Linked DNA regions of Saccharomyces cerevisiae S288C. Changing the gene in region 2 together with the main gene of any one other region gives a genetic interaction. Each region holds a gene or a part of one and is shown on either strand. Other genes may lie near its edges.

Region 1 (3,034 bases), 370 kb from region 2:
CAGTTGGAAAGGGACCATATGTTTTTCAAAAAGTCATTTGAAGTGAAGAAAAGAAGAAATAATGAAAAGCAAAAAAGCATGGAAAGGGAAATAGAAGACTTGAAAACTAGGTTAGAAGTGGAACGATATAAGAATTCACAAATGATGAAGAAGAACAAACAGAAAGAACAAGAACTCTCAACTGCATCTAAAAAAAAGACTACCGAACATGACACTAGAGGCGTCCCGGGCATGAATCCTAAGGGTACTGACAAATTTAGCATCAAGAACACGCTATGTAATCATTTCACACTATTAACATTTGGAACTATTTCCATCGGGATTATAGCTATTGTCTTCAAGATCCTTTCCCCCAACTAGCATCGTAAATACAAGACACACACGATCCGCTTTTCACGTCAGAGATTATTATATACGTACGTATATATGTAATAGATATTCACATGTAAAAAAAGGTAAGCATCCTTTCATTTAAGAAAGTATGGGGGGAGTCATCCGTCTCACGGATTCTTTTTCAAAATATTGACGTCGTCAATTTGCATTCTTTCCAAAGTTTTTATTCCTAGCAGCTTTGTCATTTCTTTGACAAAACTAATTGCTACACTTTGCACATTTACAACAGCATCGGGTCGTTGTTCCATAATTGAAGTAGTCAGTGTATTTTTCAAACCGCACATTTCAAAACTATTCATATACGATAGATCTGTATTAACATTAATTGCTACCCCGTGCGATGTTATGGAACGTCTGACGTGTATTCCAACACTAGCAACTTTCTTCTTGCCATTTTCAACCCAAACTCCAGTGTCCTTTGTAGTCATAGCATCTAAGTTCAAAGGCTTGTCAGTGTCGTCGCACATCTTGGTATTCTTCAACGTTCTGATAGTGGCCTGCTCAATGCATGAAACCAAGCATTTAGCAGGGAAACTTTGAAATGTTTTCAAATCTAAAATAATGTAAATAACAATTTGGCCTGGACCATGAAATGTTACTTGTCCACCCCTTTCCACTTGAACAAACTTTGGTCGTGGGTTGTCCTTTTGCGTTTCTGGAATGAAACTTTCATAAGCCGCTATCTGATCTGGCGTCATAGTTTTCTTAATCCTCTTCCCACCTGTATAAGTTGGCTCAAACTCAAACGTTAATATTATCGGATTAGGTTTCATTGCCATAACCTTGTCTAATATTCTTTTTTCGTTATCATTTATTGTTGCAGTGCCCTTATATTCTTCATCCAATTGTATTAATTTTCTCTCAATCTTCGATTGAATGTCTTTGATGTCCAAATTTGCCCTAACTAATGTCTCCTGTATTTCCAATCCTTTTTGAAAAGGTATTCTTTGAGTGAATTGTAGATGTCTGAGCGTTTGCGCTGAGGGTTTTATAGGATGTGTCATTTCCTTGAGAGCAGAGGCATAAGTGCTAAAGCATTGTCGCCTACAGACATTGAAGTTTGTGCATACGGACTGGCGAATACACCTCGACATGGGGCTGAAGCTTTCGACAAATCTTAAATTGTGACTTTGTGCATGAAATTTTTATATGAACGTTTTAAATAAGTGGACATAGTCCTTCATTCGGTATATGCAGATCCGGCATCAAACACTTTTTCAAGAAAGTTTGAGTCAAAAGGATTAAAGGATAAAGTAAAACAACAATAACATCTCCGTGAAGCATTGAGGGAAGGGTTTAACTCCAACAATGTCACTGAACAACATAACATTCTGTGTCTCACAGGATCTGGATGTTCCCCTGAAAGTGAAAATCAAGTCATTGGAAGGACATAAGCCACTGTTGAAGCCATCTCAAAAAATCCTGAACCCTGAATTAATGCTGATAGGGTCAAATGTATTCCCTTCTAGTGATCTAATTGTATCCTTACAGGTATTTGATAAAGAGAGAAACAGAAATTTAACTCTTCCGATATACACGCCGTATATTCCTTTCAGAAACTCTAGAACCTGGGATTATTGGTTGACTTTGCCCATACGTATCAAACAGCTTACCTTTAGCAGTCATTTACGCATTATTTTGTGGGAATACAATGGATCCAAGCAAATTCCCTTTTTCAATCTAGAAACGAGCATCTTTAACTTAAAAGACTGTACTTTAAAAAGAGGGTTTGAATCCTTAAAATTTCGTTATGATGTGATTGACCACTGTGAAGTGGTCACTGATAACAAAGATCAAGAAAATTTGAATAAATATTTTCAGGGTGAATTCACGAGACTCCCTTGGCTTGACGAAATCACTATAAGCAAATTAAGGAAACAACGGGAAAATAGGACTTGGCCTCAGGGCACCTTTGTCTTAAACTTAGAATTTCCAATGTTAGAGCTTCCTGTTGTGTTCATCGAAAGGGAAATTATGAATACTCAAATGAATATTCCAACTTTGAAGAACAATCCTGGACTAAGCACAGACTTACGAGAACCGAATAGGAATGATCCTCAAATCAAAATTTCTTTGGGGGACAAATATCACTCCACATTGAAGTTTTACGATCCTGACCAACCAAACAATGATCCAATAGAGGAAAAGTATAGGAGATTGGAAAGAGCATCTAAAAATGCAAACTTGGACAAGCAAGTGAAGCCGGACATTAAAAAGAGGGACTACTTGAATAAAATCATCAACTACCCCCCTGGCACTAAATTAACAGCACATGAAAAGGGTTCAATATGGAAATATAGGTATTATTTGATGAACAATAAAAAAGCTCTTACAAAGTTATTACAGAGTACAAATTTGAGAGAAGAATCGGAAAGAGTAGAGGTTTTAGAACTAATGGACTCATGGGCAGAAATTGATATAGACGACGCATTAGAACTATTAGGCTCAACTTTTAAAAACCTTTCAGTGAGATCGTACGCCGTAAATAGGCTGAAGAAGGCATCAGACAAGGAGCTGGAATTGTACTTATTACAGTTGGTAGAAGCTGTCTGTTTTGAGAACCTGTCCACTTTTTCCGACAAATCTAACAGTGAATTCACTATTGTGGATGCCGTATCTTCGCAAAAGCTTTCGGGTGATT
Region 2 (4,206 bases):
TGTATGACAACTTCTCAAATTGCTCCAAAACTTTTCCAATTTTAGTTCTCTTCGAAATAAGTTTCTATTTTGAAACTTTAAATTTAAGATGTTCCTCTTTGTTTCCGATTTAATGAGGTTTTGTATGGATGGATCAGTATGAGTGCACAAGGTTTCATCGTTATTATTGGCAATTAATGATAACGATTCTTTTTCACTATTGATTTTCCTTTTATTTTCCTGAATCAAAGAATCTACACTCAAATTTTTTTGTGGTCTAATGACTAATGAAGATGATCCTGATGAGTTCCTGTTGTTGTTTGGAGTAAACAAACCATCAGAAAACACAGAAGACGCAGAAGAAGATGAAGAAGAGTACATCGTTGATCTGTGATTCGGCGAAGGGGCCACAGGACTCCCCTGAGAGTTTGCTCGAGGAATGGCAAAGTTGTCTATTATGGGGACAGCATAACTAATGAGATTAGTATCTTTATCTATTGTTGTGTCCAGAATTGTTGTCCAATCTGTGGTCCCGGAATGTAGGGCCTCTTCTTTCAAATCGTTTCTTGTTATTCTATGCCTGCTATGGAATAGCCGCTGACTGGGTGGTACGTACTCGTGCATGATATTATTAACCATGAGTTGTAGCTGTTTTGTTATATCCAAAGAATTTGGCTAACGTATCCTTGTACGCGTGATTTATTTATATATACGTGCAGCACAATATATATATATATATATATGTATGCGTGCGCTTGGTTATGGCTCAGTAAAGCGAAAGTAACGGAATAAGCGAGGGAAGGGGGATCTAGCGATGAGGGAATGGCAGTAACAGACTGTTCCCTTACAATACACTCTTGCTAAATTACATCAAGGATAATATACTATTTTAAAACAAAAACCAGCCATTTCCCTAAGGACGCGAAACTTTTGTGACGCGTTTCAAATAAAAAAGAATACTGCAAAACGCAGCACAATAATTAGATAAAACTAGTGGCATATGTCACTAATTAACTATATAGTCACTAATACTGTATATATAGCCGACACAGGCTACACAAAACACAAACGCAAAGGAATTAGGAATGTAGGTAGGTACACCGAGGCTAACTGACACTTCTGGGTCATGGACAAGCTTGTTTTTAGCACATCGTAAGGAATGTAACCACGCTTGAAAATAACAACGATACATATCAAGGTAGTTAGAGAGGCATTCCAGCCATAGATACGCAACCACTTTTTCAATCTGCTATTTGTATTAACTTGTAATTCGCTTGAATTCCAGAATTTATTGACGAAATAGACGAAAAGGGGTAGTTGCAGAACTAGCTCAAGGACTACAAACCAGTATAGCCATTCTGGTTTCTCTGATAGCAGGAAATCGTGTTGCTTTGCGATGTGATCACTAACAACCTTTTGCGCAATCCCTAGTTGCCATTTAGCGGGAATAACCACTGATGAGTCGATGAATATGGTGATGGGAATGTGAACGATGAAGTACCACAAGTAGAATTGTTGCTCACGATGTCCTAGCTTCATTATCTCCGGTCGCTTTTCTCTATATGTTTTCACGTGAGTGGCTCGTTTCTCGTACTTATTTGCTGCGGTTGTTCCTTTTATACCTACTAATTCGTATCCTGTACAAAAGCCGATAATTCTTTACTATGTTTTCAAAGGTTTTTTTTTTTTAAACGATATGCAAATTATTAATTCTTTTGAATATTTCTATGTAATCTAAACCACTTTACAATATACTATATGGAATACGTGGCGAAGAAAATTCCATTATCTCACCTCCGCTTCTTTCTCATCTCTTTCATTTTCTTGTAATGTGCCTTCCTACCGCTCGTAGATTTCTCCTGAATTTCGTTGTATTTACGCTTGAAATACTTATTAGAAGCTTCATCACCCATGAGTGTTTCCAAAATAGTCGACTTTCTTTCCTTCCTGTTCATACGACTACTATAAAACTCACTCTTGTCTTCAATTATGGTACCAATAGCAAACCTCTCTGGCACCTCCCAACGTTGCTTCTTATAATGTCTCTTTGGATCAAGAGCAGCTCTATGTTTAATCAGCAATAAATCTCGTTGAACTTCACGACGCATGTTATCATCTGGCTTTGGTAAGGTAAACCAGTCATTATCGTTTTTGTCGCTCTTGTTGGGTTTTCTTTTATCTTCTGTCTCCACACTAGGCAAGACGTTCTTCTTCTTCTTCTTGTTTGCTAAAGCATCAAATCCGGTTTCTAACTTAGGAAGCTTCTTAAGATTAGTTTCGATCTCTTGAAATTTACTTTCAATTTCTACTTCATCATCATTATTGCCTATCTGCAAAACATCCTCTTGTTGAAGAGAAACTTGTTCCTTCGCTGAATTTTTTACTTCTAGACTGGCACTAGCATCTCTTAGTGCTCCAAATAAGTCTTCCACACTTTGATCCATGTTTAACAGCTCCTTTCTCACGTCCTCTTTAATTGGAAAACTTGACGTCTCATCGCATTTTCTATTTCTTTTCTATCTTCTGTTTTAATATGCTGAAAAATTTTTAGGCCGGCACTAACCACGAATTATGATAAAAGAGAAGGATGTTTAGAGAAAAGGTTTTCGTGTGAAAGGGGGAATTGCGTTGTTAACTGACATAGCTGTCTTCAATGGAATCATAACAATGAAGTTCGAAGACCTCTTGGCAACCAATAAACAGGTGCAGTTTGCTCATGCAGCTACTCAACATTACAAAAGTGTCAAAACTCCAGATTTCTTGGAGAAAGACCCACATCACAAAAAATTTCATAACGCAGATGGCTTGAATCAACAAGGTTCTTCGACCCCATCTACAGCTACCGATGCAAATGCCGCCTCAACTGCTTCCACTCACACAAACACCACGACATTCAAAAGACACATTGTTGCCGTGGATGACATATCGAAAATGAACTATGAAATGATAAAGAATTCTCCAGGGAATGTAATAACGAACGCTAACCAAGATGAGATAGATATAAGCACCCTCAAGACAAGGTTGTACAAGGACAATCTTTACGCTATGAATGACAACTTTTTACAAGCTGTCAATGACCAAATTGTAACATTAAATGCAGCGGAGCAGGACCAAGAAACTGAGGACCCTGACTTATCAGATGATGAAAAAATTGATATACTGACCAAAATCCAAGAGAACTTGCTTGAAGAGTACCAAAAACTTTCACAGAAAGAAAGAAAGTGGTTTATATTGAAAGAACTACTGTTGGATGCAAATGTAGAACTCGATTTGTTCAGTAATCGTGGCAGGAAGGCAAGCCATCCAATCGCATTCGGAGCAGTAGCCATACCAACGAACGTCAATGCGAATTCACTAGCATTTAACAGAACCAAGAGAAGAAAAATTAATAAGAACGGCCTTTTGGAAAACATTCTTTAAGCCAAGATTAACATAAGACAAGTTTGCAAAATCCCCAACTTCACTTCCATATGCATATTCATTTAGGTATATATCGTATATTTGAGAAAAATTCATATATGAAACGTTATTAAAACATGAAAAATAGAATGTGTTATCGGGCTTAACTATATTCTGCCATTCAATGCGTGTTTCTTGACCATCTCTCGCACTACCTCTGACGGTACATAGAATGGGTTATGCTTCTTTGTCTTTTTCGTGTGCTCATATTGTCTTTGGTTCTCGAACTCAACCTCCTGGGTTAAATTTATATTAAAGAACAAGAAATCCTCTATGCTATCATTATTATCTTGAGATTCCATCTCAAATAGTTCAGAAAATCCGGTGTTCCCGAGGTCATCGTATTGCAATTTTTGTTTGTCTACCTCATTACTCAAATTGCTATTGGAGGTGCTTTTGATAGCATCACTACATTTATTATGAAGCATATCCATTAACTCCGTCCTGAGTTGTTCCGACGTGTGTCAACAAAAGGATTTACTAAGAATGTTGTATTTTGAGTTTTAAAAGGACGTGCATATGCACATACATATATATATACATATATGCGTATTTATCATCACTCCGTGCTGTTTAGAAGCTGCACATATTATGCATCTATCGCGATAGTATTGTGAGTTGGAGATAAAGATTTAATCATTTGTGCAACAACCGCTTTCTACTGTAGGCATAGAATTTCGCGCATCCCACCCCTTATTAACAATCACATTTTTTTTTTTTAATATTAATGACTCCGGTGGTCGTGATTGTAATCTTGATAACAATCGC
Region 3 (3,259 bases), on a different chromosome or scaffold from region 2:
TTAGCAAATGTTAGATCACTGGTGGCATAATCTAGTGGAAATTGGTGGGCTACAGTTTTATTTAAAGGATTTCGCTTGGATCCATCTTTTAATAGAGTCATGATTTTTTCCATAGCCACTCCGCCTTTTTGAAGAACAACTATTTGGTGTAATGTATTATTTAAAGTCGAGCCCAGCATAATGCATGAATGGAAGCAAGTGATTACATCGTTAATGTTCAGCTTGCCCTTTTTGATCATTGCGGAACCAAACCAGAATCCCTGTACAAACATAGTCAACGTCAAAAATCTCAAGATCCCAGCGTTTGCAGCAACAAAAAAGCAACTCTTGATGAAGAAAGTGTTACAATTTAGTATGATTTCCTTGAATTTTTTCCTTTCTAGACGTTGTGTACAATATAATCTCACTAATTGAGCGGCATTCATCGACCATGTAAGTAATTGGGCTGCTTTACTCGTTTCAGAATTCTCCTTCTCTGAATATACATGAATCATTCTGGAAAACACCACTGCAAAAAATGTGATTATTGGAGAGCTGCAAAGAATAATTAAAGTTAATGACCAAGAATAGTAGAATGACGTCCCCAGAAGCGCACATATTGCAACTAAATTCTGGAAAGTTATGGCTGATGCCTCTGCGGAGCTTGATCTTAGCTCTTCCACACATCTGTTGATTTGAGTAAAATCTCCTAACAATTTTTCATTATTGTCGTACCATTCCATTGGCTTTTCCTCCAAATATGCCTCCAATATCTGTGACCGTATTCTAAAGCCTTGTCTCTCGCCGATGTGCATCCAACTTGTTAGAGAAAGCCACATTACTGGCACAGAAGCCGCACCAAGTGCCATTACTGCCATTGACCTCTGTACTAGTTGGGAATACAAACCTTGATGTGACCCATTAGCCACGAAAACTGATAGTAGATCGAACACTCTGCCCGTCAGGATAGAAGTAATTGCCGGCACTAGGCCTGTTGCCACGGTACCTATTATCATTATCATTAACAGCCTGTAGTCATTCCGTATGTTCACGTACCTGAAAATGTGATAGTGTTTTGTAGTCTTAAAACTTAAAAAGTTCATGACGTAGCTTGTTCTTTGTTTCCTAGTGGAATTTTCAGCGGCACTTGAAAGCTCTCTGTGTGAACGTAACAACGGGAGATAGTTCAGCCATATCCAGGTTTATAAGCTCTGGTATTTAAATGATGAACGGCAATAATGCAACAGTTTTCATATCTGAAACAATTGTATATGTGCGAAGCAGCGTGTAAATTTCCCTATTAGGTAATTACATGGCAAAAAAAATAAGAAACTATTTTCTTAAAGTACCTTTACCCTTTGTGGAAAACAATAAATTGTATAGTGGCAGAATAGAGAAAAGAAAAAGGAAAGGAACATATTTGTCAGTGCAAGGACCATCATTGTTTGAAAAAAGAGAGGATATTACTAGTAGGTAATAACAGCTATGTCGCGTTATATATATTATATATAAAAATTAAAAAATAGAAAATAAAATTTCAAATGCCCTCTGTGGGAATTGAACCCACGATCCCCGCATTACGAGTGCGATGCCTTACCACTTGGCCAAAAGGGCTGAGTAATTTTTATACCTGCTAAATTTGTGGCTCCGCTATACTTTACAGATTTATCTATTTTGAAGATGATACATTTAGCAAAAATGACCTTAAAAATGAAGCAGGTGCCATTTGCCTATAGCTTGGAAAAGTAGTAATGGTTATTCAAAAAGTTAGCAGCGAGATCTTTTTTCTATCGCGCGTTAAAACGTTTGAACAGATATATATTATTCAGCCACAACTATCTATATATAATATTTCTTCGATTTTTCGTTTTCTCAAGTTTCGTCTTATTGATTGATCAGAAGTTTACTGCGCTTTTGGGTAAAGAAGCATTAAACAAAGGAGAGAGAAATATTGCAAGGAAAAAATGGTGAGCTATGGAAGTCATAGTAGTGAGGTTTCGAAAGTTCTTAAAACGCCGAAGTTTGTGCTTAGGTATGGAAATGTATCCAGCAAACAACGTTTTGCCCTAAAGCGGAAGATAAATTACAAACTACGTGAAAGCAAATATCAAGAATACTTGAATGAATACAACACCTTCGTGCTTTACGACTGGGAAAACAGTGGCGCTGGTAGTCTTGTCGATTCTTCCTACAATCTCCCCTCTTTATGGAAGGAATTCATAACAGAGGGCATATCTAAAGGAGCAATAAACGACAAACTACCGACAGTCTTTATGAAGAGGAAGTTGACAAACTCAGCGTTGGGTCACTGTTTGGGACTTGATTTCCTGACTGATCCGAGCGAGTCAGAACATGAATACAGGTGCATGTTTCAGACAGTTCAGGACATCCCATCTCTCTCGCAACTGATCTTATTCAACAGCATGCCAAACGTTCCAGTAAGATTGAAATTGCATACCATTGGTATAAATATAAATTTCGGCTGCAAACGTTCCCTGATAAGCAACGGTGGTGATCAAGACACTGAAATGAGCGAAGCAGTCTCTTATATCCAGCCTTTATTGGAAGAATCCTCGAGAATGTACCGCAATTTAAACTACTGGAAGCTGTTAAAAATAGCACGAAATAACAAGAAGGATGAACCGTTGGATCAGAGCACGCGTATCAAGTCGCAAGTTAAGCTTTTACTGAGTCAATTGGCGACGAACCGAATTACCTCACCTTCCGTCACGGATCATGGGGGTCACAACTGGCTCATATTCACCAGAAGACGGTTGTAAACGATAAATATGCCATAAAGATCTGCGAACTGTACATATCCATATATAATGCGTATTATTTGGTGACTATAGCACTGGCTTCCGCCATCTCACTAAGAACGAAGAGGTATAATAAAGCATTGTGATGTTAAAGAATGACGATTAACCAGCATTTACAACAACTTCTCTTCAACAGAATAGACAAAACAACAAGCAGTATTCAACAAGCTAGGGCGCCGCAGATGTTATTAGATGACCAGCTGAAGTATTGGGTCCTGTTACCTATTTCGATTGTCATGGTTTTGACGGGTGTACTCAAACAGTACATCATGACACTTATAACGGGAAGCAGTGCAAATGAAGCACAACCAAGGGTAAAGTTAACTGAATGGCAATATCTACAATGGGCACAATTATTGATTGGAAACGGTGGGAACCTGTCTTCCGATGCATTTGCTGCGAAGAAGGAATTTCTAGTTAAGGATCTCACTGAGGAAAGGCACCTAGCCAAGGCCAAGCAG

What was found.
Region 1: mutations in EMA19 (region 2) and LIP2 together harm fitness more than expected from each alone (negative genetic interaction), as found in Saccharomyces cerevisiae (2 studies listed by BioGRID).
Region 3: mutations in EMA19 (region 2) and CBT1 together harm fitness more than expected from each alone (negative genetic interaction), as found in Saccharomyces cerevisiae (2 studies listed by BioGRID).

The regions. Positions count from the first base shown.
Region 1 is NC_001144.5:615,832-618,865, forward strand, and holds LIP2 (lipoyl(octanoyl) transferase LIP2), read right to left. Parts: upstream 1,488-3,034; coding exon 501-1,487; downstream 1-500. Other genes in the region: FAR10 (Far10p), read left to right, coding at 1-360; phosphatidylinositol 3-kinase VPS34, read left to right, coding at 1,702-3,034. UniProt on the Saccharomyces cerevisiae protein: Catalyzes the transfer of endogenously produced octanoic acid from octanoyl-acyl-carrier-protein onto the lipoyl domains of lipoate-dependent enzymes. Lipoyl-ACP can also act as a substrate although octanoyl-ACP is likely to be the physiological substrate.
Region 2 is NC_001144.5:244,555-248,760, forward strand, and holds EMA19 (Ema19p), read right to left. Parts: upstream 1,519-4,206; coding exon 1,033-1,518; downstream 1-1,032. Other genes in the region: MLO50 (Mlo50p), read right to left, coding at 1-618; FCF2 (Fcf2p), read right to left, coding at 1,770-2,423; IES3 (Ies3p), read left to right, coding at 2,647-3,399; NRS1 (Nrs1p), read right to left, coding at 3,546-3,872; OSW2 (Osw2p), read right to left, coding at 4,163-4,206. UniProt on the Saccharomyces cerevisiae protein: Part of an import route for newly synthesized mitochondrial proteins termed the ER-SURF pathway (ER surface-mediated protein targeting), which retrieves mitochondrial precursor proteins from the ER surface and reroutes them to mitochondria for efficient mitochondrial import.
Region 3 is NC_001143.9:45,214-48,472, forward strand, and holds CBT1 (Cbt1p), read left to right. Parts: upstream 1-1,943; coding exon 1,944-2,759; downstream 2,760-3,259. Other genes in the region: ATP-binding cassette a-factor transporter STE6, read right to left, coding at 1-1,082; ER membrane complex subunit EMC3, read left to right, coding at 2,981-3,259. UniProt on the Saccharomyces cerevisiae protein: Involved in 5'-end processing of mitochondrial COB, 15S rRNA, and RPM1 transcript. May also have a role in 3'-end processing of the COB pre-mRNA.